2 linked regions of the Rattus norvegicus genome follow. The protein of the gene in region 1 interacts with the protein of each later gene in a biochemical or structural test. Links are inferred from orthologs where the notes say so. Each region holds a gene or a part of one and is shown in the gene's direction. Other genes may lie near its edges. The genes, in order: Cacna1a and Cacnb4.

Region 1 (15,393 bases):
AGGATGTAAGGGTTCATCTTCAGTATACAATGAGTTTGTGGCCAGCCTGGGCTACATGAAACACTGTTGAAAGAAAGATGGAAAGGCAGAAGGGCGAGGGAGAGAAGGAGGGACGGAGGGAAGAAGGGAAGCCAAAAAGAAAAGAGAACCCAGGGTAATATCACACACCTATAATCCTAACACTCAGAAGACTGAGACTAGAGGATCTCCAGTTCAAGGCCAGGCTGTGAGACCCCACCCAAAACAAGACAAAGCAAAAGGGGAAAGGCCTGGTTGATGCATCTACCCATCTTTGAAGCAGGAGTCTCCACATGTTTCCAGGACAAGGAGGCTTGCTTCCTCTTGGGGTACCTACACTGAGGCTTGGAGACTGGCCCATCAGAGATCTCTAATGTATTCAAACTGATTTTGTTTCCTTTGGAAGAGAATGGAATTATGTAGAGACTATGGCTCCCATCCTTCCTTTTCTTAATAAGCTGGCTGTTTCTAAATGAGACTTCAAGGCTGGCTTGAGAGAGGACAGCTGGGAAGCAATGCCCAGAACCAGAGGACAGATGATTAACAGGCCCTAGCTCCTCCCAGAACAGAGACAGTGTCTGCAGACCCTGCTGACTGTCTGCAGACCCTGCTGACTGTCTGCAGACCCTGCTGATGATCTACAGACTGTTGATTGATTGTCTGCAGACCCGTCGATTGATGGTTTGCAGACCCTGTTAATGGTCATACCTATGTGGGGCAGGCAGATAACACTGACATCTGGTTACCAGAGGCCAGGGGTGTTCAGCAGTTGGCAGGGCACAGGTTGCTCCTCCCAGAGAATGACCCATGCTAGACCAACAGTGCCAGACTGAGAAGCCTGACCACAGCAGAGGAACATTCTAGACTTCTTTCCTATTTCCTTCATCCTCAGGAAACTATGAATAGAAGAAAAGAAACTGGGGTGGGCTTTTTTTGTTGTTTTTTTTCATTTTCTTATTTTCATTTTAAAAGATAGGAAGGCAGATGCTGATGGTGATATACACCTTCAATCCCAGCACGTGGGAAGCAGACGCAGGTGGATCTCTCTGAGTTTGAGGCCAGCCTGGTCTACATAGTGACACCCTGACTATAGATGCATGGGTGGATGGATGGATGGATGGGTGGATGGATGGATGGGTGGGTGGATGGATGGATGGGTGAGTGGATGGACGGACAGACGGACCAATGAGATGTCTCAGTAGGCAAAGGTGATTATTCCCAAGCCTGACAAGTTGAGTCTTGTCTCTGGCGCTCTGTGGTGGACGGAGAACTGACTCCTACATATTGTCTTCTGATTTTCACACTAACACTATGCGCTCTCTCTCTCTCTCTCTCTCTCTCTCTCTCTCTCTCTCTGTGTGTGTGTGTGTGTGTGTGTGTGTGTGTGTGTGTGTGTGTACTGCTCGAAGAGCCTGGGTTCAGTTCCCAGCACCCATGTCAGTGGCTCACAACCACCTTGCACATCCGGCTCCAAAGGACCTGACACCCTCTTCCAGCCTCTGGGGACGCCTACAGTCTGGTGCACAAACCCTCAGAGACTCACACACATACACATAATTAAAAATAAAATATGGCTGAGAGAGAGAGAGAGAGAGAGAGAGAGAGAGAGAGAGAGAGAGAGAGAGAGAACGAGAACTTTCTTTTTAAGGACATTAGATGATTGACCAGGGCAGGAATCTGTGGCACAGCACAAAGTGCTAACACAGTGTGCCCGCCCGGCTGCTCGGCTCAGCACCACAGAGCCCAAAGCAGTACAGTCTGTACAGTGAGGCCTACTCTACACCGACACACACACACACACACACACACACACATACGCGCGCGCACGCACGCACGCATGCATGCACAAACTTGCGCTCAAGTGAATAGAAAGCCTGATCCCCTCAGTTTTCTCCATGCTCATCATGGAGGAATTGTCCCCCGCCAGTGTGTGACCTTTGTGCACTGCCATGGGTGAGCTAAACATCTTAGCTCCTTCATCTCAGAAGTGTGTGTGTGTGTGTGTGTGTGTGTGTGTGTGTGAGAGAGAGAGAGAGAGAGAGAGAGAGAGAGAGAGAGAGAGAGAGTCATATAGCCCAGGCTACCCTCATGCTAGCTGGAGAGAGAGAGAGAGAGAGAGAGAGAGAGAGAGAGAGAGAGAGAGAGAGAGAGTCATATAGCCCAGGCTACCCTCATGCTAGCTGTATAGCTAAGGCTGTCCTTCAATTCATCCTCATACCCACCTCCCCCATGCTAGTATAACGGCGTGCGTGCCACCATGTCTGGTTTAGGTGGTCCTGGGGATAGAGTCCTGGCTTTGTACATGTTAGACAAGTGCTCTACACTCACTACATCTGCTGAGCTACATCTTCAGACCTCTGTCCTCCTCCTCCTCCTGTTCCTCCTCCTCCTCCTGTTCCTCCTCTTCTTCCTCCTCATCCTCCTCCTCCTCTTCCTCCTCCTTCGTCTTCCCCCCTCCTCCCCCCTTTTTCTCCTCCTCCTCTAAGCAGGTGACAGGCTTCAACCTCATGACCCCATGTCACCCCAGTTACTTCTCAAAGTTCCCATAACCGCTGACCATGATGAGCTAGGCAAGGATTCAGCCACGAAGCTCCATCCCCAGGATCCCTGCTTTTTAAATTGTTGTTTGTTGTTAGAGATAGAGACAGGGTCTTGCTAAATTGTCAAATACAACTCATTTGGAGCTGAGCTTCTGCCTTGGAGCTTGACAGGGACCCATTCAGTCCAGAGTGAACACTTGTGTCACAGCAGAGAAGACAGGATAACAGCGAGCCATGAGACTCTCAAGTCCCCTATTTCCCACAGCCTGACTGAGTACCCCCAGCCACAAGCACAGAGGTGGGTGGTTGAAGACCTGGCCTCCGGTAGGCTGACCGTCATGGCGGACGTTGTGGCTGAGAGGGGCTTGGCTGTGTGTTTGTCCCTGTCTTTCAGATCCTGACTGGCGAGGATTGGAATGAGGTCATGTATGATGGGATCAAGTCTCAGGGGGGCGTGCAGGGCGGCATGGTGTTCTCCATCTACTTCATCGTCCTCACCCTCTTCGGGAACTGTATCCTTCGTGGGGGCCAGGGACAGACTGGGTGTGGGTGGAGCAGACGGGACCCAAATGCCCAGGCTCTGTCAGCTCCATCAGGCCGTGAGTTTCCATCCGCTGCTTTCCCTGACTCGACATGCAGACACCCTGCTGAACGTGTTCTTGGCTATCGCGGTGGACAACCTGGCCAACGCCCAGGAACTCACCAAGGTGGAGGGCACAGTAACCACCTGCTCATGGCAGATCATGACAGCAGGGTTTGGAGGAATGTGGGGGCTGGGTCAGGGCTCTTGCTGGGGATGGGAGCACTGGGCACCTCTCCTGGAGCCGAGCCATCCCTGATCAAGACAGTCTGTAGCCCAGAAGGGGAAGGACGGTAAAGTTGCTACTGAGAATAGATATTCAGCTGCACCCAAAGGCTTGAGGAATAAGGAGTTCCGGGATAATGGGCACTGCCACCAGCCAAAGGACCCACAAGGAGTGACTTGGTAGGGCCTCTGGCAGAGCTGAAGCTAGCAAGGCTCAGCCACAGTGACGAGGGATGCCTCCCCTTCGCTCTCCTTCTGACTTCCACACGGAGCATGTCATGGGATAGTCGATAGGAGGCTACAGACAAGATGCACAGAGGTTACCTGGTTGGGAGGACAGCATGGGCCTGAGGGTTTGTGGTCCCTTCCACATGTGGCCCTGTGCTGAGGAACTAAACAAGAGGAAATGCCCTCGGGCTGGTCTTCCAAGGAACAACAGTAAGGAACTGTGGTGCTTCAGGTGCCGGGCTCTATCTAATCTAGTCTCCCTTTGGAGAAGGGGAAACTGAGGGTCAGAAAAGTCAAAATCTATTGCCAGATGGTATTGGCAGCCACAGCCACTACTTAAAGCGTCATGCAGTGGGTGTGGTGGTGCAGGACTGTGAGCACAGAGCTGAGATAGGATGGTTGCAAGTTCAAGACCCGTGCTACACAGCAAGAACCTGCCTTCCCTCAAAACAGCGCACACGCACACACACACACACTCTCACATCCTCCCTCCACATGTGGGGAAACTGAGGCCAGGGAGGGTAGATGCATGTACCAGACACCAGGAACTACAGGAGCAAAGATGGAACCCTACAAAGGGCAGAGGAGAAGAGATGGGGCGGGGACTCGGGCAGGAAAGCCACTGGATGAGAGGAAGCCGGGTTTTCATTCCTACTCAGTGACGCCAAATTATCTGTGGGCAAACTGGCATCACACGCCCCTCAGGGCAGCCTCCAGCATCCTAACTGTCCTCAGGTCCGTGTCAGTCAGGCCTGGGGGAGGTAACCTTGCTTTCAGCAAAGCAGCTGGCGCCCCCTGGTGGCGACAGTCTGTAAGCAGAGCAGCCAGGTTACCTATGCACTATGCAAAGAAAACAGGACAGGGTGACGCTGAGTGGGGGCTTTGTGCTCAGAGATGGGTGTCTGCCCGGGAGAGGAAAACATAAAGAAACTGCACTTTGTACAAGCTTGAGGTGTCAGGGACAGAGACCATCGCCCTGGAGCCCCTCCCCATGCTCCAGCTTCACAGTGCTGTCCCCAAGTGCCTCAGAACCCAAGACTAGAAGGCTACAGGGGTAGGGACTGCCAACCTTCCATCTGTTGGCCCTGGCAGGAGGGAGGGAGAATTTCCCGGCCCCACCTCCAGCAGGGAAAAGCGGAAGTCTCCCACCCCAGGCACAAAGCCAAGAGTGCAGCCACCATGAATCTGGCTGGCATGTGTCACCACAGGCGGATCCAGCCAGGAGCTCATCCAAGATACAGGAGGCTGGCACAGAAAGACAGGCCAGTTACACTCCACAGTGAAGGCAGCCATCCCCCTGCAGACCCCAGCTTTCCCCTTCATCCATGGTACACACGATTCACACCACTGTAATCCCCAAGTGAGGGAAGGGACTTGTCTGAGGTCCAGGTTAGATACCATACCTCATCCTGTAATCATGGAATGAGTACATACAGTGAGCACAGCCCTGGCTACAGTGAACAAGACAGACAACAGTCCCTGCCCTGGGGAGACAGGGATTCAGGTTGTAGAGGCAGGCCAGAAATCAAGACACATTTTTAAAACCAGTTTGTTAGACGGTGCTGAAGGAAATAGTGCAGTGAGACGAGTCAGGGAGTCCTGGAAGTTTGGTCATGAAGAAGAGGAACAGAGAAGTTGAGAGACTTACTGTAGGTCACACAGCAGTAAGTGGTTGATGCTGGGATTTTAACCCTAGCTGACTGAAACTTGTGGTTTTCTCCACTGCATACAAGACAAACCGGAATGTGCTTCACACCCTCCGAGCAGCCTGTAGAAAATGCAGATTCCGGAGGCAACCCTAGGTCTGAGGTGCTGCCAGGGGCCTAGAAACCTGCGTTTCCAGTGTTGCTGAGGCCAATGTCCCAACGACCTGGTTCTGAAAGATGCCAGACACAGTGCCCGGCATCAGGGAGCCCTGTCTCCTTGTCACTGACAGTGTTTAAGGTGCAGGTTACTTCTGTGCCAGGAGAGCTGAGAAAATGGGGGCAGTCACCCTACAAAGACCCCCATTGCTCCTTATTGCTGGGTTTGTTTTTTTCTGTTCCCTCATTTTTTCTTTGTTTTCCCAATGATGAGTTTTAAACCTTTCTTTTTTTTTTTTTTCTTTTTTTTTTCGGAGCTGGGGACCGAACCCAGGGCCTTGTGCTTGCTAGGCAAGCGCTCTACCGCTGAGCTAAATCCCCAACCCCCAATGATGAGTTTTTCTTTCTTTCATTTCTTTTTTTTTTAATTAAGACAGAGTTTTACTTTGTAGTTCTAGCTGGCCTGGAACTCACTATGTAGACCAGGCTAGCCTCAAATTCACAGAGAACTGCCTGCCTCTGCCTCCTGAGTATTAGGATTAGGGGCTAATTCGCCACCTGCACCACCACACTGGGCAATTGAGGGCTTTTCTGAGACATAGCTAAATGACTTCAAGTTCCCAACCATCTAGGCCATGAAGCCCATAAGCCCACCCCTCTCTCCTGGTCTTCCCACAGTTGGGGCTGAGGATAGACCTTATAGATCCCAGACTGCCTATGGGCTGTCGACAGTGTGGTACAGTGGCTCTGCCACTGGGGCTGCCCAGTGTCTAAGGGGACAGATTCTGAGCACGTAAACAATTTGAAAGCACAGAACACCTACAGACACGGGACTGGGGGTGCAGTTCAGTGACAGAGCTCTGTTCCAGCTGGCACAAACCTGAAACAAAGTTGGGGGAACAGAGGTGGGGGAGCCAGGCATGCTCTTATGTGCCTGTTATTCCAGCACTGGGGAGGCTGGGCTGAGACCATCTCAAGTTCCAAACCAGCTTGGACTACAAAGGTTAGTGAGCTGTCGAGCCAACCTGGCCACAAGGGAATGGCAGTATACTTCACCACCCAGCCTGACTGGGGACCTTGGTTCTAATTGGTGAAGGTCCAGGCTGAGCTTAACTTCTCAGTACCTCATGTTTGCCCCTGGCTGGCAGCGAGGTGGACACCCCGCCTCCTCCCCGCCAGGCCCGTTCTTGTGAACAAGAATCCCACTTGCCTTCTAGGATGAACAAGAAGAGGAAGAGGCAGCCAATCAGAAACTGGCTCTACAGAAAGCCAAGGAGGTGGCAGAAGTGAGTCCCCTGTCTGCAGCCAACATGTCCATAGCTGTGTAAGTAGCCCCAAGCCTTGGTTGCCACCCAGGCAAGGATGTGGGGAGAGTTAGGGTGGCCCCTAACTGCTGAGCCTCTCGCCCCCTTTCTCTCCGTGAGTATTTAGTGAACACCTACTATGCGCCTGGTCCTGTCCTGACTGCCGGGAAGGCAGCATTCATGACTGGGAGGGGCACTTTTGTATAGCTGTTCAAATCAGAGAAAGGATGAATAGTAAGCAAGACAAGTAAGTAAATTATACCCCATGGAACCTCCAGGAAGCAGCCAGGAAGGGGTAGGGAGCTGAGGAGCATGAAACCTGCACCAGGCACTCGACCCACTCTGGAGACAGAGACAGGCAGATCTGTGGGAGTTCCAGACCCAACAGGTCCAGACTAGGGATAATGAGATCCTGCCTCCAGAAAACAAACTTGTTAGGAAAGGCCTTGCCTAAAAGGAAGCAAAACTCGAATGCATGAGAGAGGAGGCAAGGCTCTGAGGCAAGGGAGTTTCAGGAATAGGAAAGAGACTAGTGCGGCACGGAAAAAGAGGGTGAGGAGGCAGAGTTGGCTCCAAGAGTTGTTGCCCCCGATTAAGTTACAGCCAGAGAGAGTTCTTGAGCAGTGGAGTGTCAAGACCAGACTCAGATGCCCTCTGGTGATTCTCGTGGTAGTAGACTGTGGGGGCTGGGATCTTATATGTACTTGAAGGTCAGACTCAGGAACCTGGGCTAGCCCAGGCAAAAAAGAAGAGAACTGGGCAGGGTCATGGGTGCAGCTGGATTCAAGAGTGAACCAGAAGAGGAAGAGGCAGCCAATCAGAAACTGGCTCTACAGAAAGCCAAGGAGGTGGCAGAAGTGAGTCCCCTGATTCTAAGGGAAGAGCAGATACTTCGCCAGTGAATCAGAGGCAGTGGCCAAGGGGCGTGGCTATGGCACAGTAGGCTTCCCGATGGGCCAGTACTACCCAAAGGGCATGCGCAGCCAACTGCTTTCCTCCAGGGACGCCCATGACTCCCACCTGTACACTCCAGCCGCACACAGCCCAAAAGAAAAGGATCAGACATGACTTCATGTGCTGCCATTTAAATCATCTGCTTCTTCATTTGTTGGTTTGTTCATTCATTCATTCATTCTGGCACCGGGATTCATTTGTGGTAGGCAGGCAAGGCCTCCATCACTGAGCCACATACCCAGTCCCTCACCGGTAGAATCTAGGCTGGGGCTCTGCTAGCGAGACAATGGGAGCCTGTAGTGAGTCAGGATATCTTAACGATAACCCAAACCGCTCAGCACAAGGTGCTGGAGAAACAGAGAGACGAAGGAAGGTGCCAAGGGCCCAATATGCCCTTCAGAGGCAGGTTCTCCATCACCTAACTTCCTCCAAGTAGAACCCGCCTCCTAAAGTTCCTGCCACTTCGCATAAGTCCTTGTATCTATAAGCCCAACAATGGACCAGTCGCACACCTGTCCTCGTAGCAGTGGGGAAGCAGAGGTGTGAAACTGCCCTACACTGCAGTCCAAGAGAAAGGGCTGGTAATATGACTCCGTGGGTAAAGACTTGTGACACCAAGCTGTACAACCTGAATTCAGGCTCTTACGTAGTGAGAGGAGAGAACCGACTGCAGATAGTTGCCCTCTGACATTCACAAAGTTGCGGCGGCCACATGCAAACACATACATCAAAGTTATAAAAGTTGAAAGTACCCACTGGAGTTGGGGGATGGGGGGAGGGAGTAGTCGCAGCCCTCGTTATCTGACCACCATCACACCCATGACACTGCAAACAACCTCCCTTCCTTGCCTTGCAGGAAGGAACAGCAGAAGAACCAGAAGCCTGCCAAGTCGGTGTGGGAGCAGCGCACCAGCGAGATGCGCAAGCAGAACCTGCTGGCTAGCCGCGAGGCGCTGTACGGGGACGCGGCTGAGCGCTGGCCCACCACTTACGCGCGCCCGCTGCGGCCGGACGTGAAGACGCACTTGGACCGGCCGCTCGTGGTGGACCCGCAGGAGAACCGTAACAACAACACCAACAAGAGCCGTGCGCCAGAAGCGCTGCGCCAAACCGCGCGGCCCCGCGAGAGCGCGCGCGACCCCGACGCGCGGCGCGCCTGGCCCAGCAGCCCTGAGCGCGCCCCTGGACGAGAGGGCCCGTATGGCCGCGAGAGCGAGCCGCAACAGCGCGAGCACGCGCCACCCCGCGAGCACGTACCCTGGGACGCGGATCCTGAGCGCGCCAAGGCCGGGGACGCGCCCCGCCGCCACACGCACCGGCCTGTGGCCGAGGGCGAGCCTCGTCGCCACCGCGCGCGCCGCCGGCCCGGGGACGAACCGGACGACAGACCGGAGCGCAGGCCGCGTCCCCGCGACGCCACTAGGCCGGCCCGCGCTGCAGACGGCGAAGGCGATGATGGGGAGCGCAAGCGGCGACACCGACACGGGCCGCCGGCCCACGATGACAGGGAGCGCAGACACCGGCGCAGAAAGTGAGTGGGCTCCGGGAGGGAACTGGGTTCCCAGATGGACCTCCAGCTCACTCCAGACCGAGTTCTCCGTAGCTAGGGTGACAGTCACCAAACCAAGCATACCGGAAGTCATGGGGATGTACCCAGTAGCCATAGTCCTGATTAACAGATAGGGAAACAAATGCAATTCACTGCCGGGATGGATGTAGGGCCTCATTTTCTAAACAAGATTCTACAACAGAGCCAGCCCCTCACTGGGGGATTCTAGGTTGGCCCTCTACCACTGAACTACATCCCATCCCAACATTACATACTTTAAAAGTCTGGGCTATAGGACTAACGAATTGTGTGTCTTACGCGTACGCTAGGAAAAGCCTGGCGTCTCCATCAGCTTCGTATAGCTTTCTTTACCTGCTGCTTTCTCTTCAGTTAATGCACTCCTTGGCCTCAGTGTTCTCACCTGTATATTGGACCCCCCAAAATGGTGGAATCATTGCTGGAGTTAAAAAAGTAAACTCCGCCAAGGCTCTCGTGGGCACTGGTGCTAAAAAGCACTCGAGATTCAGCACCTGCAGCTGCCATCTTGCTGGTCCTTTGCCTACTCGATGGTGTCACTGGGGAGGTCTGAAAAGCCACTCTGCACCGAGGTGTCTTCCGTAACAGCACCAGTAGTGGCTTTCTCTTACTCTTTTCGTTACATTTTGCAGTGCTTCATGGAAGACCCTGGAGCGACTCTCCACAGAGAGGCCCAGGGACTTCTTTGTCGATAGAGTCGTCTATCTCCCTGTTACAAAATACTGTTCTCAAGCCTAGTGTGGCGTCACTCCCATGATCCTAGTACTTGGGAGGGGACAGGAGGATCTGGAATTAAGGGCCACCCTTGGCTACATAGCAAGTTTAAGACCATCCTGGCTACAATGAGAACCTGCCTTCAAATTATTATTATATTATTATTATTATTATTAATTATACGATCCCTTGATATACCTTTGTATTGTTATGAGTGTATCATCCCAGAGTTTTTGTTGTTGTTGTTGTTGTTGTTGTTGTTGTTTGTTTTGGTTTGTTTTTTTTTTTCAGTATGTACAAAACCTGACCTAGGCCTATGGGAGAGGGGCATTCGTTCAATCTGCAAGAGTCAGCTTTCTCCTTCCGCTGTGTGGGATCTGAGGTGTCAGGCCTAGGCAGCACAGCTTGTGACTGGGCAGGACATGAGGGCAGCCATGAGAATCTGTTCCTAACAAGAGCTGAGCAGTGCAGCTTCTGGGACCACACACTGAGTAGTGGGATTCTCAACCAGTGAGAGCTTAAACGGGGTCTGGTCATGTCAGCTGTATTTTAGCCCAGGCTGTGAAATCCAGCCAGTAAGCACAGGCAATGAGGGCCCTTACAGAGTGGTTGGAGTTTTTGAAAGTCTCTAAACGTTGAATGTCAGTCACACCGTGAGCAGAACCTGGTGCTGAAATACTCCTGCCTATCACTATCTAGCTGTGTGACTTTTAGACTGTCCCTGTACCTCTCTGGTCCTTAATTTATTCATCTGCAAATAGGGCGAACGATAGACTAAAACGTACAGGTTTGAGTGAATGACTACATATTAACTGTGTTGAGCGATGCCAAGCCAGCAGCAAGTACTCAGTAAATGTTAGCGTGGGTGGGATTAGTAGCAGCCCTAAGTTCAGCCATCCTTGGATGTCTTTAGGGGTCATCCTGAGGCCCTCTGGGCTCCAGACCATGCCCGGGTGGCTCGGAGTGCCTGAAGCAGTGCAGAGTCTGATCAGTATCACTCTGTGTCACTCTTTGCCTAAACAAATATTTAAAAAGTAGTGGACATTTAACCCACTAATAACCGTGGGCTCCCCACTACGGCCTGTGGCACCCACTGGGTTCACAGTACCAGGTCTGAGTTCCTTCCTGTGGAACAGCCCTCAAATCAGTAAGCAGTTGGTTATCCCCACATTAATGCAACTGTTGCTCCAGGGAGCACACCACTGTAGTCTGCAGGGACCAGCACTGGGTAAGACCATGGTACATTCTGGGGTCTGTGGTTGTTGTTGTTGTTGTTGGAGTTTTTGTTGGTTTTGTTACGGGTTTGTTGGGTTTTTTTGTTTTTTGTCTTTTCTGACACCGGTTTCCCTGTAGGCCTCAAACTCAGAGTTCCACCTGCCCCTGCCTCCAGAGTGCTCCACCACTGCCTAGCTAGATGCTCTGTATTTGTTAGGAAAGAGACAAAAGGGGACGGTCTATACATTTGGGGCCAATGCAATTTATTTGTTGGTTGGTTTTAATCGTTTCAGTCTTGGGGCTGGGGAGAGGCTCAGTACTTGAGCACTTCCTGCGTGCACAGGAAACTCAGGTTCAGTTCCCAGCACCCACATGGTGACTCACAACCTTCTGTACCTCCCGTTCCAGGGAACCTGAAGCTCTCTCATGGTCCCCTGGGATACCAGGCACCCACTGTCACACAGACATACATACATGCCCTAAGAGATAGACGTAAAATAAAAATAGTCTTAAAACATTATCCAGGCTGGGGATTTAGCTCAGCAGTAGAGCGCTTGCCTAGCAAGCGCAAGGCCCTGGGTTCGGTCCCCAGCTCCAAAAAAGAAAAAAAAATTATTCAGTCTATAATCAGTTCAGTCCATGGATACAGAATCTGTAATGTGAAACGGTGAATTATAGTAAGAGTTTATCAACTGTCCAGGCATACTCCCAGCACTCAGGAGGCAGAGGCAAGGGGATCTCTAAGTTTGAGATCAGTCTGCTCTTCATAGTGAGTTCCAGGACAGCCAGAGCTACATAGAGAGAGCTTGTCTCAAAAATAACAAAAAGACTTTATCAAGTGTTTTAGCATCGTGTGAGGACTCAGTAAGTGTACACAGACCATATTAACAATACCGAAGTCTCTCCTTGAAAGACATCAAAAGCCTTAGAGCTGGACACAGTGGCGCATGCCTAGAAACCTGCGCCCAGGAAGCTGAGGCAGGAGGATTGCTACAAGTTTGGAGCCAGCCTGGACTACAGAGTAAAGTGCTGTTGAAAAGATTCTGTTTTGAGGATCGTTTTGATTCTATTTCAGAGAGCTGGGAGCTCCCGTGAGCTCCTGCCTTTCTTTTCCCTCCCCGTGGGGTTATGCTCTGGCCACACGTATTTCATCCCCCGTGTGTTTCATTGTCTGGGATGTTGGCAGTGTCATCCCCAGTCCCATTTCCACACTCCCCTCTCTCTTCCCCTTTAAAACATGGATCTCCAGAACACTACTCCTGCACCGTGCACAGGTTGCTAGGCACCGGTTCCCCTATGCAGGGCAGCTGAACCTGGTGATACCCAAGGTGGCCAAAGTGAGGCACATGCCCCGAGTCCTGGTACAGACTTGTGAGCTGCCAAGCATCTGCCAGTCTGAGGACCATTCGCACCAACTGTGCAGCCTAGGTCCATCTGCATCTGTCACCATGGCAATCACTCCCCACTGGTACATGGAGAGGGTTGCTGCAGTTCACAGCTTCCTGGCTTACTTACTTTGCCTGTGTCGCAGAGAACTGTGAGCCTTTAACACATGGCCCCTCACACATTGCTCAACACCTCCATCCCATGCACCCCAAGTTGTTCACTGCTCGTTTCCTTTGCTGAGTGATGCTGAAGTTAAAGCTTTCTAGAGAAGACCAAATTCCAGTTCAGCCCCATCCAAACTGGTTCACATAGGACAAATGTCCTCTTCTCTGCCTCAGTTTCCTGTCCTGTTGAATGGAGTTGATCCTGTTTTCAGTCTCAGGTGCTTTGTTACTGCACGAAGTCTTAAGGGTACAGAAAGTGTGCAGTGAAGGGGGCTACTCTTATGGTCGCCGCCAAATAGTCTAGGACAGTCCCCTGGGTCTCAACTGAGTACACTCCAAGAGAGAAATCCATTGGGGGCTGGAAGTGGGACCCTGCATGAGACAAGCTTAATACAACCAGTCACCTCTCCTGGGTGCTATGGGACAGGGCCCAAATTCAGGTTTCTGTATCTTTTGAATCTTTCTTGAAGACACTTAAGGATTAAAATTAACTGGAATGTGTACTGGGTGTGTGGTTTCACACACCTTTTATCCCAGCACTTGGAAGGCATAGGCAGTTGGATCTCTGTGAGTCTGGGGCTAGCCTGATCTACATAATGAGTTCTAGGACACTTGAAGCTATATTGTAAGACTCTGTCCCAAAAGACAAAAACAAAAACAAAAAAACAAACAACAACAACAACAAACCAAGCCCAGTGGTGATGGTGCAGGCCTTTGGTCCTAATGCTTATGAGGCAGGGGCAGGCAGATCTCTGTGTTAGAGGCTAGCCTGGTGTACAGAGCAAGTTCCAGGATAGTCAGGGCTACACAGAGAAACTAGATTGATAGATAGATAGATTAACTGGAAATTTATGATTGAGCTTTGCATATTGGGCCAGCAAAAACATCCCCAGTAGTAGCAGGGGTGTGAGCTAGAATCCCCAGTTAGGAGAGCAGGTGTGTGTGGCTCAGTGTTAGAATTCTGCCGGGGTCCTCACCAGTTCACAGAAGGTGCTCCCTTTTATCTCATAACCGCTTGGCCTGCCTGGAGCAGTGCAGCACTCTGTGAAGTGTAGAGTCAGTAGTTATTTTTCCTTTCTTTTCAGGGCAGGTAAAACTTGGAGCCTCGAGGGTAGTAGAGCTGAGTAACGCAGCATGCCGTTCCTGCACTGTGCTGCAGCCCTGGGTGGGTTTCGGCCGCCCTACTGACCCTAATACTCTTCCACTTTGATCCTTTTAGAGAGAGCCAGGGCTCTGGGGTCCCCATGTCTGGTCCCAACCTGTCCACCACCAGGCCAATCCAGCAGGATCTGGGCCGCCAGGACCTGCCACTGGCTGAGGACCTGGACAACATGAAGAACAACAAGTTGGCCACCGGGGAGCCTGCCAGTCCCCACGACAGCCTGGGCCACAGTGGCCTTCCCCCTAGCCCTGCCAAGATCGGGAACAGCACCAACCCTGGTCCCGCCTTGGCCACCAATCCCCAGAATGCTGCCAGCCGCAGGACGCCCAACAACCCGGGCAACCCGTCCAACCCCGGCCCCCCCAAGACTCCCGAGAACAGCCTTATCGTCACCAACCCCAGCAGCACCCAGCCCAACTCAGCAAAGACTGCCAGGAAACCCGAGCACATGGCGGTGGAGATCCCCCCGGCCTGCCCGCCCCTCAACCACACTGTGGTCCAAGGTGAGGAGCTGCAGGGTTGCCTGGGCCATTTCTGCCATAGTCCAAGCTCACTGTGAGAGGAAGACCCTGTGGTAGCCTTCAGTGACGTTAGCCTGTGGCTGTTCTCTGCACCCTGCCTTCCCTCCACAGACCCCACACTGCCGTGATGGAGAACGAAATCCCCAAATGGGAAAGGGGGAGGGGGGCTGGACACAGCTCGAAAGGTTAGGTACACTGTTGCTGTCCAAGGCGTGTCGCACATCTGGAAACATCCTCTGTAATTGGTCCAGCGGCTCAGTAAGAACGGGAGGGGGCTGGGATCTGGCTCAGCTGGTACAGTATTTGTGCCTGGCACAAACTCCAGCACCACAGACAACCTTCAGTCAAGGTGGGTGGAGGCAGAAAGTTCACAAGTTCAAGGCCACCCTTAGCTACCTTCTGAATTTAAGGCCAGCCCAGACCCCATCTCTATTGTTAATAACGATGCTAGTGTCCTCCTCAGTTTTCCGCAGCGTCATCATTGCAGCACACACTAAAGAGCGTTGCCTGCTTTTTCTCACAGTAGTGGCAACCAGAGGTGTCACACACCAGTGTGGCCCTGTTTGGATCAGCCTTGCTTCTCTCGTCACCTGGGGCTTTGACCCCTAAAGACAGCATGGCATAGATTCCTGTAGGAAGCCAGTCAGATTTTGGCTCTGGGTTGTTATGTTTTGGGATAGCATCTGACTATGTAGCCCAGGCTGGCCTCAAACTGGAAGTGATCCTCCAGCCTCTTTTTCTCCTGTGCAAGGATTACCTGTGTGGGCTGCAGTGGCTGACTTCACAGCGGAGGGTCTGACAGTGCACTGCTATTCTGATGAGGAAATGGAGTCCCAAAGAGACTCAATCCACAAACAACCTACACAGAACCCAAGAGCCCGCCCAAAGGGGAGGAACCACAGTCGGGACTGGGTGCTCTCACAGGCCGCTGAGTTTTCTACTCTATGAACCAGGGCTGTGGGCAGCTGCCCCATGCAGGCCCCGGTAACATCAGA
Region 2 (16,160 bases), on another chromosome or scaffold:
GGACTGGAGAGATGGCTCAGCGGTTAAGAGCACTGACTGCTCTTCCAGAGGTCCTGAGTTCAAATCCCAGCAACCACATGGTGGCTCACAACCATCTGTAAATGGGATCCGATGCCCTCTTCTGGTGTGTCTGAAGACAGCTAAAGTGTACTCATATATAATAAATAAATAAATCTTAAAAAAAAAAAAGAGCCCCGACTGCTCTTCCAGAGGTCCTGAGTTCAATTCCCAGCAACCACGTGGTGGCTCACAACCATCTGTAATGGGATCTGATGCCCTCTTCTGGTGCATCTGGAGACAGCAACAGTGTACTCACATATATGAAGTAAATAAATCTTTAAAAAAAAAAAGAGTCATAGAAATATTGTGAAGGTAGTTTGGAAGATTGCATTTTCTAGTCCCTGCCTTAGGGTCACACCTTAGCCTGTTACGTTCGTCTGCAGCCCTGCGTTGAAGATTTCTCTTGTCCTCACATATGTATTCATCTGTTTAACCATTTATTAGTCATGTGCCTTGAAGGACTATTTTACACTCAGGGTTATATTTCAATATTATTTTAATATATTTTTTATTTTTTGAAGCAGGTTCTCACACTATACCCTGGGCTGGCCCTTGAATTCGTGACAATTCTCCTGCCTCAGCCTCCTGAGTGATGGAATTACAAGTGTCTGCCGTCATAGCTAATTCAATCCTACTTTAGTGCTCATGTCGCCCCCCACACTAGCCCCTGAGAGACCTCTTAGGTTGTTCCCGAATCCTCTTGATACACTCTCATCATTGAAGCTCTGGAGTTTTTGTTTTTAAAGCAGTCCCTTACAGTCTGGTACTTCAAGACACGCCAAGATCATTCATTACTTGTACGTCCTGTCCCATTCCTAGAATCAGCAATTTTCGTAGGTGCCCTGGTTTCATTTCTTGGCATATAGCATCCGAAACTAAGATATTGTACTACATGTGTCTCTTAGTTATGAGGGTTTCATGGCTGTGGAGAGACGCCGTGACCAAGGCAACTCTTATAAAGGAAAACATTTAATTGGGGCTGACTTACAGGTTCAGAGGTTTTGTCCATTGCATCACAGTAGGAAGCACGGCAGCATGCAGGCAGATGTGGTGCTGAAGCAGGAGCTTGTGCACATGTAAGCCCTCAAAGGCCGCCTCCACAGTGACACAGGCTCTCCAATAATTTACTCTAATAAGGCCACAGCTCCTAACAGTGTCTCTATCTGTGAGCCAAGCATTCCAACACATGACTCTATGGGGGCCATACCTATACAAGCCACTACAACATGTTTGCTCAGCTGCTCACCTGGAGTCAAAAAACAGGTGCATAATAAGTATGCACGCACACTGTAAATGTTTGTATATGTAATCATTCATACCTGTGTAAAGCCACACCTGGGTTTTTAATTGGGTTGCTTGTTTTCCTTATTCTTGGGATTTAAGAATTGTCGATATCAGGCTGGAGAGATGGCTCAGCTGTTAAGAGCACTGACTCCTCTTCCAGAGGTCCTGAGTTCAATTCCCAGCAACCACATGGTGGCTCACAACCATCTGTAATGGAATCTGATGACCTCTTCTGGTGTGTCTGAAGATGGCGACAGTGTACTCACATACATAAAATAAATAAATAAAATCTTTAAATAAAAAAAAAGAATTGTTGACATTGTTTGTTTGTCCTTAATGAGACTTGTGTCTTGCAAACATTTTCTCTCAGTGTGTAGATTATATTCATTCTCTTTGTAATGTCTGCCGAAGGCAGGAACAGGGGACTTTCAAGGGAGAGGAGATATAGCACTGTGGTATAAAGGTGGTGGTGGGGAGGAAATAATAGACTAGAAAGAATTAAATGGGGAGGGCAGGGGAGAAGAGAGAATATAAGGAGGGATAACTAACACGACCTTTACAAATAAAGTCATGTAGAAGCTCCCTAAAATATAACAATATCCATATGTACATAAAAGTTTAATGAAGTTACCCTATAACTTGCTGGACACCATAGACACTTAAAAATCTCAGTGCCAGGAAACAGTTACTCTTTTTTTTTTGTGTGTGTGTGTAGTTTTGGCCAATGAGTTCTGATAGACTACACAAAATCACATGCTATTGCTTTCGGTTCCTCTCTACAACTTGACAGTAAGACTTATTGCTGACACCACATGCTTGAGTTACAGACCGTGGAGAAATCAATCTGGTACTAACTTGGGAGCCTTGTCAATACTGGTTAGCTTCTCAGTGCTCGCATATGCTATGCACACAACCGGAGGAGACAAGAAATCACTCTTATCCAGCTGTGAGCTGCAATGATGACCAGCAAGGAAACGTGCCCACTGGGTGGATGGTACTGGAGGAATCAGCAACTTTCTGCTTGGGATTTTAGTTCTGTTCCATAACCTGGCATTGTTATCGAGGCCACTAACTATGCTTATATAGGTCCTAGGCTTTAAGAGATTACTTAGTTTTGGTACATGGACATAGTTTAAATTACCTCCTTAGTGATTTATTGCTATACCTTTAGATTAGTATATCTTTCAACCTTCATCAAAGAAACTACCTCTTGCAATAGATGATTAGCACAAAGACCCATTGGTTAAGACGGAGAGAGTAAGAGTGCAGGATGCTTAGCTCCAAGAATGTCTATCGATAATACACCCTCCAACCAAGGCTCAGGGTTATTGTGAAAGATCGTAAGAGCCAGAGGCCGTGTGTGACTTAAAACAACAACAATACCCCAGTGTTTTCTGGATACAGCAGGGCAGTGTGACAGCACGCACAAGACCTAGGCGAGCTCCAGCTAATCAAAGTCCAGCCTACAGTGGGGAAATAGCCCAGGAGCTGTTGGCAATTGACCTGTTGGGAGAGAGCTAGTTTCATTTAAGGACATCGCTCTTACTAGGTTAATCAGTTTCAAACCCCACACCTAAGAGCACAGACTGGACTCCTGTGGTTTAGAAAGAAAAAATGAGGAAAAGTTGCATGAGTCGGGAAAGGGAAACAGTCAATCTGGAAGGAGCCAAGGAGGGTTGGACATGACCAAAACACATTGTGCAGAATTCTCAAAGAATCGATAAAATACTTTTAGGGTATTGATTGAATTTTAAACAAAACCCAAATTCCATCACTGAGCAGAAGGTTTTAATTTAAATTTAGCCTCCAAATCAGGGATTTTTTTTAAAAAAAGTTTTTGGATCAGTCATGCTTTAAACTGGTGTATCTAAAAAAACCTCATCAAACCCAGAGCAGGTATATTTTGTGCTAGATGTGCTTTGTCTCCTATTTGCTCTTAGCTCTGTGATATATTTTCAGTTATGTCTTTAAGACCCAGAAAATTAAAAATAATGGCTTAACTGTCATAGAATTCACACACTTTGCAACTCAGTCGTGTAAAGAATGCAATTCAGGACTTCTGTGTTCAAGAAAAAGTCTATGCTGCCCAGGCTGCTCTCGAATTCCTATGCTCAAGTCATCGTCTTGCTTTTGCTTCCTGAGTGTGCCATGGTGCTGAGATAACTCCGTGGCTTTCAGTGTATGTACATGTGTGTAATGTGTAATAGTCACTACATTCATCTTCGTCATATTCAGCTCACCCAAAAAAACAAATCCCGTGGACTCCAGGCATGTGGCTTGGTGAATAAAACAGTTCCTGGACAAGCGTGAGGACCAGAATTGATATTCCTAGCATCCATATAAAAGCAGAGCTCGGAGGCAGAGACGGGATTTCTAGCTCACTAGCCTAGCTGACTCAGTGATCTTTAGGTGCAGCAAGAGACTCTGCCTTAGTAGCTAAGGTGGAGAGAACATCTGAGGAAGACACCCAAGGCAGGCTTCCACACGTACTTGCCTAAGCAGTCTCTAATCTATTTTCTGTGTCTGCAGATTTACTTATTCTGGATATTTCAGAGAAAAGGAATCATACTAATCCGTGATTTTTTTAGGATTTTTTTTTCACTCAGCATATTTTTTAAAGGATTTAAAATTTTATATGTATTGGTGTTTTGACAGCATGCATGTCTGTTCACTGTGTGCGTGTAGTAGAGTGGAGGCCGGGAGAGGACATTGGATCTCCTGGAACCAGTGTTACAGGTGGTTATCGGCCACCGTGTGGGTGCTGGGAACTGAACTTTAAGTCCTCTTAACCATTGAGCCATCTCTCCAGCTCCTTGCCCAATATTATGGTAGGTATTCTAGTCGGTGTAAGGCGGTAGCTGTCTCACATTGTTTTGTGTTATCACTACAGAATATATGAGACTATATAACATATAATGGGAAATGATTGGTTTTTGCATAGTTCTAGAGGTGGAATGCCAAAGGTCAATGTGCCACGACCTAGTGAAGACCTTCTGTGTCGTCACATAGCTGAAGGCAGAAGGGCCATGATACAGCAAATGGAAGCAAATGTAACTATCATCATCATCATCATCATCATCATCATCATCATCATCGTCATCGTCACCACCACCACTACCACCACCACCACCATCATCATCATTATTATCTTTTTTTACAATGGTCTTTATCTCCCTCCTGGTCTACCCTCTGACTGTTCCCATTCCATATCTCCCTCCCATCTCCAGGAGGATGTCCCCACACCACCAGACCTCCCCACTCCCTGGAGTCCCAAGTCTCTCAAGGGTTAGGTGCATCTTCTCTGTCTGAGTCCAGATCCTGCAGTCCTCTGTTGTATGTGTGTCAGGGGCTTCATATCAGCTGGTGTTTGCTGCCTGGATGGTGGCTCAGCATTTGAGAGATCCCAGGGGGTCCAGGTTAGTTGAGACTGCTGGTCTTCCCATGGGGTAGCTGTCCTTCTCAGCTTCTTCCAGCTCTTTCCCAAATCAACCACAGGAGTCACCAGCTTCTATCCATTGGTTGGGTGCACATATCTGCATCTGACTCTTTCAGCCACTTGTTGCGTCTTTCGGAGGGCAGTCATGATAGGCTCCTATTTGTAAGCACACCGTAGCATAGAAAGACAGGGCATCAAGTGGAGGGATGGGGTTTGCCATCCCACAGTCAAAAGTAACTGTTTATAATGGCATCAATTCCACTCTAAGAGTGGAGCCCTTGTGGCAAAAAATTCTCTTAAAGGTCTAATCTGTTAATACTGTTAAGATGTAATAAAATGTCAGCACGTGTTTTAAAATCATAGTTTGTTGCACTTTCCTAATGATGGTTAGTACACACTTTTTTGGTCACTGATGTATAATTTATTTTTATTTTATGTGCATTGGTAATTTGTTTGCATGCATCTCTGTGTGAGAGTATTGGATCCTCAAGTGTTGGAGTTGCAGAAAGTTGTGGGCAGTGGTGGGAATTGAACCAGGGTCCTCTGGAAGAGCATCCAGTGCTCTTAACCACTGAACCATCTTTTATTTTGATGAAGTCCAATATGTTTGTTTTTCTTTTGTCATGTGCTTTGATATCATGTTTAAGAATCCATTCCCGAATCTGAGATCACGAAGATTTACCTTTCTGTTTTAATGATTTTACATTTTTAGCTTTTCATCTAGGTTTCTGATCCATCTTGGGTTTTTTTTTTGTTTGTTTGTTTTGTTTTGTTTTTTTTTTGTTTTGTTTTTTTTATACTGTGAGAGGTAAGAATCCAATGTCATTCTTCCCTGGCGCGAGGGAACAATGATATATTCTCTCCGACTGTCTTAGTTGATATTCTATTGCTGTGAGGAGGCATACTTATAAAACTTATAAAATAGTTTTAAAAAGGCAACTAAGAAAATAAAGCACTTAGAGGCTTGCTTACATTTTCAGAGGTTTTGTCCATGATCAGCATGGTGAGGATCAGGGTGGCATCAATGGGTGCTGGAGTAGTAGCCAAGAACTCACATCTGACCCAAAGGTTGCAGACAGAAAGAGAACAAGAGTTGACCCTTTCTGGGCTTCTGAAATTTCAAAGCCTACCTCCCAGTGACACTCCTCCTCAAACAAAGCCACACCCCCTAATCCTTTCCAAATAGTTCCACTAAGTATGAACCAAAATTCAAATATATGAGCCTATGGGGGTCAGTCTCACCTAAACAACCACTGTGGCATCATTTTAGAAAAGGATAGCTTGCCTCTTCATGAACCCAAAACTAGTTCCATCAGGAACCCTGCACTCTCAACGAGGCTGTAAGCAACATAAAGTTTCCATCACACGAATGGGGTTATCAGAAGGCAGCCTATACTACCCTCCCATGCTCACTCAAAACTTAATTTCAGCAACAGGTAGTTGGGGAAGAATAGCAGTATCTTTCCCAGGAAAGTACCCCCCCCCCAAAAAAAAACCCTGGGAGCTTCAGATGAGGGGGAGCCTTGTGTTACCTGCATGGGGTGGAGTTTCCCTCTCTGATCAGAACGGGAGCAATCAGGAAGCTTGGCTGAAATGCCACAGACTCACACTTTTCTTCCTGGGGTTCTGTAGATTTTCTTATGCGTCTTTTTGCATCGAGGTGTGCCTGTTACGCCCATTGCTAGAAGTGTATTCGTACTTCTCACTGCCCTTGTTGAGAGGCAGATGCACAGAACAATTCATGCTGTCTTCCTGGTGTGGATTCCGGTTTGATTATTCAGTGCAACTGGGCAAGGAGAAGCCAGAGCCTACGCAAACCATTTAGTCTGTGTGTATTGATGAAGTGTCAACTAAAAAAAGGCTTCCAAACTAAGACCAGAATGAGATGACAGCAACTAATGGGGGTGCTGGAGGTGAGGGCTGTCTACATCAGTGGAGGGATCCATTACCCAGGAACTTCATAGGGGTTTCTACTACACGGAAACTACACAGATACCGAGCTAATTTGGAAATTAGATTTTCACAAAAGCAAGAATTAATATAGTAAGACAGCCTGTGGCAAATATCTAGAGAATGAATGCTCCAGTTTTTCAGGCACAGGACAATCCAGGACTGCAAGGGTCAGGGAGGATCTTCTTCTCTGTGGAGAAAGAGTGAGCTGAGCAGGATTTCAGAATGCTGGGTGCTGTCTAGATGGTGTGGACGGCAGATGCCAAGGACGCATTCTAGAGCTATGATGCTGAAGCAGACTGCAGGTCAGGAAAGAGCAGTAAATGGATCTCCCTGCTCTGGGTTTGCAAAGAGAAATCAATCTGGAGGGAGGAGTTTTGGAGTGTGGGTATGTCTAAAGCAAGCAAGAAGCCTAGATTTCGGATCACAAGAATTTGGGCTTTACCTCAGAAAACAAGTTGAGGAAAAGTGGTTTTAGAGAAATGGCTTTGCCTGTGTGTAGATGGTCTCTCTCTCTCCCTCTCTCTCTCTCTCTCTCTCTCTCTCTCTCTCTCTCTCTCTCTCTCTCTCTCTCTCTCTCTGTGTGTGTGTGTGTGTGTGCCTGTGCACGAGTGCACGAGTGCCAGAGGGAACTTGGAGGCAAGACTAGTTTTAGGACCCAAAGTTTAGACGAAGTGAAAGGGTCTGTAAGGAAAGTATGTAATAGATGGGAAAATAAACGTGGTGCTTGTTTTAATAAGTAAAATGCCAGAACACAGGGTGAGGGGGGCTGATGTAGTAATTTTATGTCTATTTTAACGAGGCATCGCTGCAACCGTAACTATAGTTAGAATTTTTTCTTAATTCACATATTTCCCACCTCTTTTTATTACTTCAAATTTCTTCCTTCTAGGATTCCCTGGCCTTCAATTGATCTCAAATACAGCATGTGTTTGTAACCAGAAAGCTAGCTTGTGTATGGCTTTAGGATGAGTTTCTTCTCCTGGAAACAGCTATACAAATGAGAGGCACGTGGTCAACTCCTGCTTTTTAGCAGGTTTGATGTGACCTTCAAAACTCCTTAGGACAGGCTGGTCTCGGTGGGGCTGCATCTCCAGTCAAACTGGCTGGCAGGCTCTCCCACGCCTGCCTAGGTGTGTGTAACTTGTATCTCCGAGGGTAGAGTTGCCCAAACAACAACAAACAAAAACAAAAGAAAAAACCCACTAATAAAAAGTAAACACACACACACACACACACACACACACACACACACACACACACACACACACACACACGCCAACAACCTAGTGCCTTACCACCATGGGATGATGAGGAAAGTCTCCGAAGGAGGAGTCAGTCTTGTCCTTTTCAAATTCGAGTGCTGGGACGGACGGACACACACACACACACACACACACACACACACACACACACACACACACACACACACACACACACACACGTTCCGCTCTGCCCACACACACACACACACACACACACACACACACACACACACACACACACAAACACGTTCCGCTCTGCCCACTCCCTGCAACACTGCACCAGCTTCCCTCCCCAAGTCCTGATTCATGAACCGTGCCACCTTTGTCTCATTTTAAACTGTGCAGACTATTTTAATCCTCCCACCCCCATCTCAGATTTTCCCCTCCCTCCATCCTCTGGAAAGCTGTGCTGTAGAGCGCTCGCGGGGTGGGGAGAGCACTTCTCCCCAAGGCTCGGGGAGGCGAGAACCGAGAAGCCCCCTCGCCTGGACTTCCCTGAGGGCGCGCGAGGGGGGAGGGGAGCGCTTCGGCCCCTTTAAGGTGCGGCGCTCGGCGAAGTGCGGGCAGGCGGCCCGCGAGCCGGCGCGGGGCCAGGAGCCGGGTAGGGAAGTCCTGCCTCCCCCTCCGCCCGCACCGGCCCGCGCCCTCCGCCCACCGCGCCGCGAGGGCCATGCGGCGCCTCTGAACCATGTCGTCCTCCTACGCCAAGAACGGGGCGGCGGACGGGCCGCACTCCCCCAGCTCGCAGGTACCGCCCCCTCCTCCACCCGCGCCGCCCCGCGCCCCGCCTTGGTGCCGCGAGTGCGGGGCGCTGGTCCCGAGCCGCCGCTCCCTCCTCCGCGCCTCCCGCCCGCTCCTCCCCCTCCTCCTCCCCTCCTCCTAGCCTGCTCCCGGGCTCAGCGCTCGGGCTTCAGTGTCCGCAGCCTCCTGTCGCCGATGCCGGGGACTCAGACCCCGCACCCGCGACGCTTTGTTAATGGATGTGGTGGGTGCTCGGGACCACCCAGCTCGGGGTGAGGGGATGGGGGTGGGGGCGCTGGGAGGCGCCGGGGAGACTAGGACGAGGGGTTCTGGGGGTCCCCGGGGCGCGGTTCCCAAGGAGGACTCCAGCCCCGGATGCCCGCTCAGCTCAGCGCTGCGGTCCTCACTGGCTTCTTTGTGGCCCCGGTGTGTCGAGTTCAGGTGGCCCGAGGCACCACGACCCGGAGGAGCAGGTTGAAAAGATCCGATGGCAGCACCACTTCCACCAGCTTCATCCTCAGACAGGTAGGAGGTCCGGGCGCCGGGAGCCCGCATCCAGCGCGGTCCCCTGCCCGGGAGCGCGAGTCCGGTCCGCGCCGGTCGGGGATCGGTCCTCGTCCCTCTGCTCCCTGCTCCCCGGTCCTGGGGTCCAGCCTCCCCTACCTCTGCTTCCAACTCCTTCCCTCTCCCGGTTCCCTGGCTACCCAGTGTTCGCATCCCTACATCTTTCTGTCGCTCCGGGAAGTTAGTTTGTATTTGTGTACTTGTGTTGGAGAGGAAAAGGGACGCTGGCCGGGGACACTCCATTTAGGAGCTAGAAGTGTTCCTGGCCCACCTTCGTTGCACGGAGGGACGTGAGCGACCTGGTTTGATGCGCTGTGAGAGTTAGAGGATTTCTCCAACCTTTGTCCTATTTTGAATACTTTCACATTTTTGAGAGAGTTCTCTGAGTTCTGGCCAAAAGAGAGACACTTGGAACAGAAAAGTTTAGTCTCGTTTTGGCACCGTTTCATCGATTTCGCGTAATCACGGACTGACGGGGACAGCGGGCTAGTGAGACCTAAATAAGACAGCGCGGGCGCAGTTCCCAGGGTCTGGCTGCCCTGAACCTCGCGCTGGCTTTCCCGTGTTTTCCTCGTGGCCAGAGAGGCAAGTAGTTCGAACCACAGGTCGCTAGCAATGCGCAGTCCTCTGCTGCCTGTCACCTTGAGGAAAGAAATCGACCCTTTGTTTTTGCACTACCCAGTGCCTCTGGAGCTGGATGCTGGAGAAGGAATACAGAAGCGGCTCACCTTGATCCTTCTCTGGAGTGTGCTCCTTCCTGGAGACTTAGGAAGACTTTGGTCAATACCCCAAGAAGCTTTTATCCCAGGTTCTGTCATGGAGCGACCTTGAGAAACACTTTTCTCTCTAGGTCACCCAGAACCTAGTGTCCTGTGATTCCAACTTACTATGGCAGCCGCGGTGGTTTTTTTTTTTTTTTTTAATAATTAGTTTAAGCATATTTTCAAAGTAGAACACGATTTAGACTCAAAATTGGACTCTGACAGCGCTTAAAAGGTCTATAAAGCATATTTGGGTAATATTTCCACGAACATTTGTACTTCCTGCAGAAATAGAAATTATGGCTACCGTTCTGTAGCTCAGTGTGGTGTGCTCCAAGCCGGTACAGTATTTAAACACATTTGATTCTGCATTCAGTTTGAAAGAACATCCCACCCTCTTTGTAGAGCGGGGGTTATTTGTGTATTTGATAAGGGGAAGCCATTGCTCAGCTTAAAATATTTTTTTGAGTTATGCAACGCTGAGCTCTTTATGTTTATCTCGTAGATGCTTATTTTTGGTAGGGCTTTCTTGTTGCAGATTCTTGGAACTACTAATTATGCACTAACGCATTCAGTGAGTGGTTTGACTAATACTTTTGAATTTACACTATCATTGGACTAGTTTACATTCGGAGCCCAAACAAAGCAATGTCCTTTCGAATATTTTTCCTAATTTCCTAATCAGTGAATGATTGAAACTACAAACACACACACACACACACACACACACACACACACACACACGTTGTAGAGTGGGCTGCTGTGTGTACGCTTAACAGAGAAAAATATTGCAATGGCAATTTTGGGAGCTACTTGGACCAGCGAAGGTTTTGAGAATAAATATAGTTCATAAATATTTTTGAGGGTGGGCATACTGATTTCATAAAACGGTCCAAATTCAGGAATTAATTGTAACAAACAATTTTCTTAATTTTGGCACAGAAACAATATCTATTTTGGGGGAGAACTTCATAGCACAGTAAACTCCTGCAATCTAATTTAAACAGCATTGTACAGACCTCTTTAAATTATATACATATATATATACATATATATATATATAAGCATAACACCCTGATAGAACCCTTTAAAGAGTGACAGTAATTTATTAATATTTAAATACTTTAAAAATTAAAATTATCTTAATTGATTGATATTCTGTGTGTGTGTGTCTGTGTGTGTGTGTGTGTCGCTACTGTGTGTTTGTGGAGGTCAGAGGACAACTCATAGACTTGCTTCTCTCCGTCCCCCTGTGAGCCCAGGGAACGGAGCTCAAGTTGTCAAGATGTCAGCAAGTGCATTTGCCATCTCTCCAGCTTTTGAATTCCTGATACTAGAAGGGATGGGATTTCCTGGTGGTGTTTCGCATTTATTTTGCTTTACTACGGGAGAGAGTAAGGAGACCAATTAGATCAGTCAGTTCTCCATGGCTGAGATAAAATACTGAGAAAATCAACTTATAGGAGAAAAGATTTATTTTTGCTTCATGGCTGTGGTCACTTGACTATGCCTGTGATGAGACAGAAAGTCACGACAAAGAGAGGTGGCAGGGAGGGCTGCTGACTTCATGCAGCTGGAGCAGAAAGATGGATCTGGGAACAGAAGCAGAGGCCTGGAGGTAATATAAACCCTCCAAGGGCATGACCTCAAAGATCCACTTCCTCCAGCTACACCACACCTCCTACAATTTCCACCACCTTCAGAAGCCCCAATCAGCTACGAGTTCATCAATGGACTAACCCACTCACCAGATTAGAGCCCTTGCCATCCAAGCACTTTTGAAGAGAGGTTGCCTGGTCCTATGCAGCTTGGTCCTGGAAACCTGACTGGGAATGAAGGAATGACAGACAGTGAGGAGATGACAGGGACACATGCAGAAAAGCTAGGATTGGATGAGCTCTGCTCACCCTGATAGAGGTCACTTCCAACACTGCCCAAAGGATTATGTTTGGCACAAAGAAGTGGTCTTAGCTAGTCTTCTGAGGTGTGTGGAGGGGGGCAGTGTCAGGCTGTGAACACCAGGACCAGCGAGATGTGGTTGATAGTTTCTACATACGTGGGTCTATTGCTACTAAACACTCTGTCATGGACCGAGGAGAGGCTTTGCCATCCCTAAGCGTCACCTGGGCTTTGTCATTTCCCCTGTCTGCTACATTGCTGGCACCTACAATTTAGGAGAGATGAGGGTTTGGAACGAATCCAGAGCACCACTAAATGGCATCTCTGAGGAAAGGTAAGAAGACACAGTTTGCTACTGACAGGAGAGAAAGGAAGAGGTAATCCAGAAATGGCTTAACCACGATCTTCCAAAGAGTGCATAGTCTGAGGGCGTCTTCCGGCCACACCCCAGATGAAATCCAAGAGCTGGTTGAGTTGGAGGGGAATGATGCCTTCCAGTAAGAACTTCAGTGAGTGCTGCTGTCGTGGGGAGGGCTTTCCTCCCCAGGAGGTCTCTGATAGGCCATTTATGGAACAAACATGTATTGTGGCTCACATCTTGGAGAAGTTAGCATTTGCTTTGTAGCCAGCTCTGTTGGACATTGTGGGAGAAGAGTGAAGAGGCTTAGATCTTGTATGCAAAGGTTTGGTTGTTGAGTTGTGGAGACCAATGGGTGACAAGCAGGCATGCATGGCAACCAGGGAGTGTGTGCACTGAGGGTTACAGTGCTGGGGTCTCGCAGCACCTGTGTCACGAACGGCAGAGTGTTAAGTTAGTCCTCGTCGCACTTGAGTTAGTTAGCTTTCTTCGTATTGAGTAACTTTTATGAATCCCTTTAAAGGGTCTGGCCTCCACCCAGTAACAGCATCATCCCCAGCTCTAATCTCTTATGTCTGGATTCAGAGCTTAAAATGAGACATCTTTCTGCCACAGGCCCTTTGCACATGCTGACCACCCATGTGGAATACGTTACTTTTCTCTTTGCCTATTGGTTCTCGATACTCCTCGAGATCTGAGAGTTTCGATTTTGTGGAGGTATATTTTTTAATACTCTCTCTCTCTCTCTCTCTCTCTCTCTCTCTCTCTCTCTGTAGCACAGGCTAGCCTCAAAGTTATGATAATCCTCCTGCCTCAGCTTAGGAATTCGCCTTATTTCCTTTCTTAAACTCCCTGACTAGATCAGTTTTCTAAGTAGGTCCTTTTAGAACAGAGTACCTGTGCTCATTTTTTAGTCGCATGTCTCCATTGCAGTTCAAGATGGATTTAGGTCTCTCTTACTGTCTATCCCCTGACCGACCTGAGTATCGGGAGGGCGAAGGAATGTCTGCGCTTTATCTTTGCTCCTTGGCACCAAGCCTTGTTCCTTTGCAATGCCTGCCCATTTGAATGAAGGGAGAGAATGGGTTTGGGGATGAATTTCTGTTGCAAGGAAGAAATTATTCCCTAACAAACCTACCCGGAAATTCCGTAGCTTAAAACGATTTCTTTCTGCGCACTGACCAGACAGCTCTTCTGCTTATGGGATGTTACGTGGGCACAGGGATGGCGGGGAGGTCCAAAATAGCCTCGCACATGTGGTTGGCAGTCAGTGCAGGCTACTGGCTGAGAGCTCTGCCGGGGCTTTTGGCAGGGCGCTCGGTTTTCCTCCATCTGTGGCGTGCGTGGCTCTTTGGACCTTTTGGTGATATGGTGACTGTAGTCTAAGCTGGACCACCCCAAGGAGCGAAGAGGGCATCGGCAGCTGCCCTAGACTTCAGTTCAAGTGCAATACACCACTTCCTTTGTATTGCATGACGTCAAATAGACTTAAAGAGCCTACCCCATTTCAAGGAGAGAAAAGGGAAAGTATCTCTGTGTGTGTATGTACGGATGTATATGAGTGTGTGTTCATGTGTGTGTGTGTGTGTGTGTGTGTGTGTGTGTGTGCGCGTGCGTGTGTGCGTGCGTGTGCGTGTGCGTGAGCGTGCGCATGTGTGTGTGTGTGTGTGCGTGAGCGTGCGCATGTGTGTGTGCGTGAGCGTGCGCATGTGTGCGTGCGTGTGCATGTGCGCGTGCGCGAGCGTGTGCGAGCATGTGTGTGCGCGCGCGTGTGTGTGTGGTCAGCAATGACCCTAAAGTATTGTTCTCCAGCAGCCATCTAACTTGCATTTTGCATCAAGGCCTCAGTAGGATGAGGGATTTAGTTGCTGATTAGGCTAGAAAGGCTGGCCAGCCTCAGGATCTATCCAGTTCTGCATCCCCCACTCCCCAGAAGGTATCTAAAAAACAAAAACAAGCAAACCAACAATGTCTCCCAAACTTTAAGAAACACGTTTAGTGTGGCGTGCTCTCAGGTGCACGTCACAGCACACATGCCAACATCAGAGAGCAAGCTGAAGGAATTAGCCCCTCCTTCTACCCTGTGGGGCCCGGGCTTGAAATCAGGTCGTGAGGATTGACAGCAAGTGCGTTTCTCGGGGGCTGAGCGTATTTACTCATGTTTTAACGTTTATATGAACGCTACTGTGCCTGCTTGCCTCTATGTACACCATGAGCGTGCAGGGTCCTTCAGAGGCTAGAAGGCATCAGATCCCTGAGGCTGGAATTACAGGCAATGGCGAGTTTCCTGATTTGGGTGTTGGAAACCCAATCCTGACCCCTCTGAAAACAGGAGGAAGTGGCCTTAATGGCCGAGTCATCTCTCCAGCCCAGGAGTGTTTTTGATGAAGTGAAAAGGTCAATTTCCATGGGAGAAAAAAGAAATGGGTAAAACCAAACTAAACTCAGCATTAATATCATATTACAAAATAAGTTAAAATTATTCTATTTATGTGGCAAAATAAAGGATAAATGTTCCATGTATACAAAGAAGTATTTAATTTTATTTTCTAAAAAATATTTGCACTCGCGAGTGCGCGAGCGCGCGTGTGCGTGTGCATGTGTGTGTGTGTGTGTGTGAGCTTGCACATGCATGTGTGAACGTGCACGTGAGCCTTGGTGGACTTGTGGAGGTCAAGGGACAACCTAGTGGAACTGTTTCTCTTCTTGATGTGTTTTCTGGGGTTTGAACTCCAGTCATGGGGCTTTAGTAGTAAGCCCTTTATCTCCTGGGCCATCTCAGGGGTCCTGTTTGGTGAATTTTAAGCATGCTCTCACTTAAGGATGGAGGGAACTTGGTGTAGTGGTGATGTGTACCTGAAGTCCTAGCTACTGAAGAGGCTGAAGCAGGCAAATCTCTTGAGCCTCAGAGTTTGGAGCCGGCTTGGATAACAAAGTGAGACTTGGATCTAAAACAAAACAACAAGAAACAAAAATCAAAACAAACAAAACAGAAAGAGGTGCCACAGGCATAATGGCATAATGAAAATTATCTACTAAGCCCTCAAAACAGGCGTTATATTGCACTGAGACTCTGAAATAAATATATATGTATGTATACATTTATATACATTTAAGCATTTATTCAAAGTACACCGAAGTGAAAAGGTAAGTCATAGAATAAAATAATGACATCACATTTAGAAATAAGAGCTCGTGGGACAGAAGACAGGAGTTGCTGCTGTCTGTGGAAACCTCGTGTTTTTTTTGAGGTATGCTAATCAGATGATCCTTACAATGATTCAATGAACCCACATTGTATTTAGAGATGGAAAACATATGCAGATTCTGAGTTGATACTATAATAAAACAAGTTGGCAGGGAAATTCTTTGGGTTATAATTTGGGTGCTGGTTACAGACACATTTCTCTGATGAAATGTGAATTCGTCAACAGAAGGTATCTGCTTTGTGCACAGCTCTAAGAATAATCATATGCCTAGAGGCATGTAGATATGCCAAATTTATCCATAAACTCGGAATCACACAGTTTTAGAACAGGAAGAGATTGCAGAAGTAAAACCTTCTGATTTCTTACTTCCAGATAACTAGAACATCGGCCCGGCATAGGACAGAAAGGTCACATTGCTAGAGGTAGAGTGAGGCAGCCTTGGCTCTCTTATTTTCTCCACCAAACACTCTAACCCTCGGTGATGAAGATGGACACAGATTTGTAGGTCATGAAAGGGCATATGGGGTTCGTTCCTCTTTAAACCCAGACTACTCATTTATTTCAGGAGTTTATTTAATTGTTTTACTTTTGAAATAGAGAGTTGCTACGTAGCTCAGGCTGGTTTGGAATGCG

Evidence for each region.
Region 2: the proteins of Cacna1a (region 1) and Cacnb4 form a complex in vitro, tested with the Homo sapiens proteins (2 studies listed by BioGRID). The link is inferred for Rattus norvegicus from reciprocal best matches to the Homo sapiens genes CACNA1A and CACNB4.

What each region holds. Positions count from the first base shown.
Region 1 is NC_086037.1:40,498,829-40,514,221, reverse strand, and holds part of Cacna1a (voltage-dependent P/Q-type calcium channel subunit alpha-1A), read left to right. Parts: intron 1-2,952; coding exon 2,953-3,070; intron 3,071-3,197; coding exon 3,198-3,265; intron 3,266-6,610; coding exon 6,611-6,717; intron 6,718-8,507; coding exon 8,508-9,182; intron 9,183-13,934; coding exon 13,935-14,380; intron 14,381-15,393.
Region 2 is NC_086021.1:57,570,545-57,586,704, reverse strand, and holds the start of Cacnb4 (voltage-dependent L-type calcium channel subunit beta-4), read left to right. Parts: upstream 1-8,433; 5' UTR 8,434-8,683; coding exon 8,684-8,743; intron 8,744-8,792; exon of another isoform or gene 8,793-8,971; coding exon of another isoform or gene 8,972-8,980; intron 8,981-9,177; coding exon 9,178-9,261; intron 9,262-16,160. UniProt on the Homo sapiens protein: The beta subunit of voltage-dependent calcium channels contributes to the function of the calcium channel by increasing peak calcium current, shifting the voltage dependencies of activation and inactivation, modulating G protein inhibition and controlling the alpha-1 subunit membrane targeting.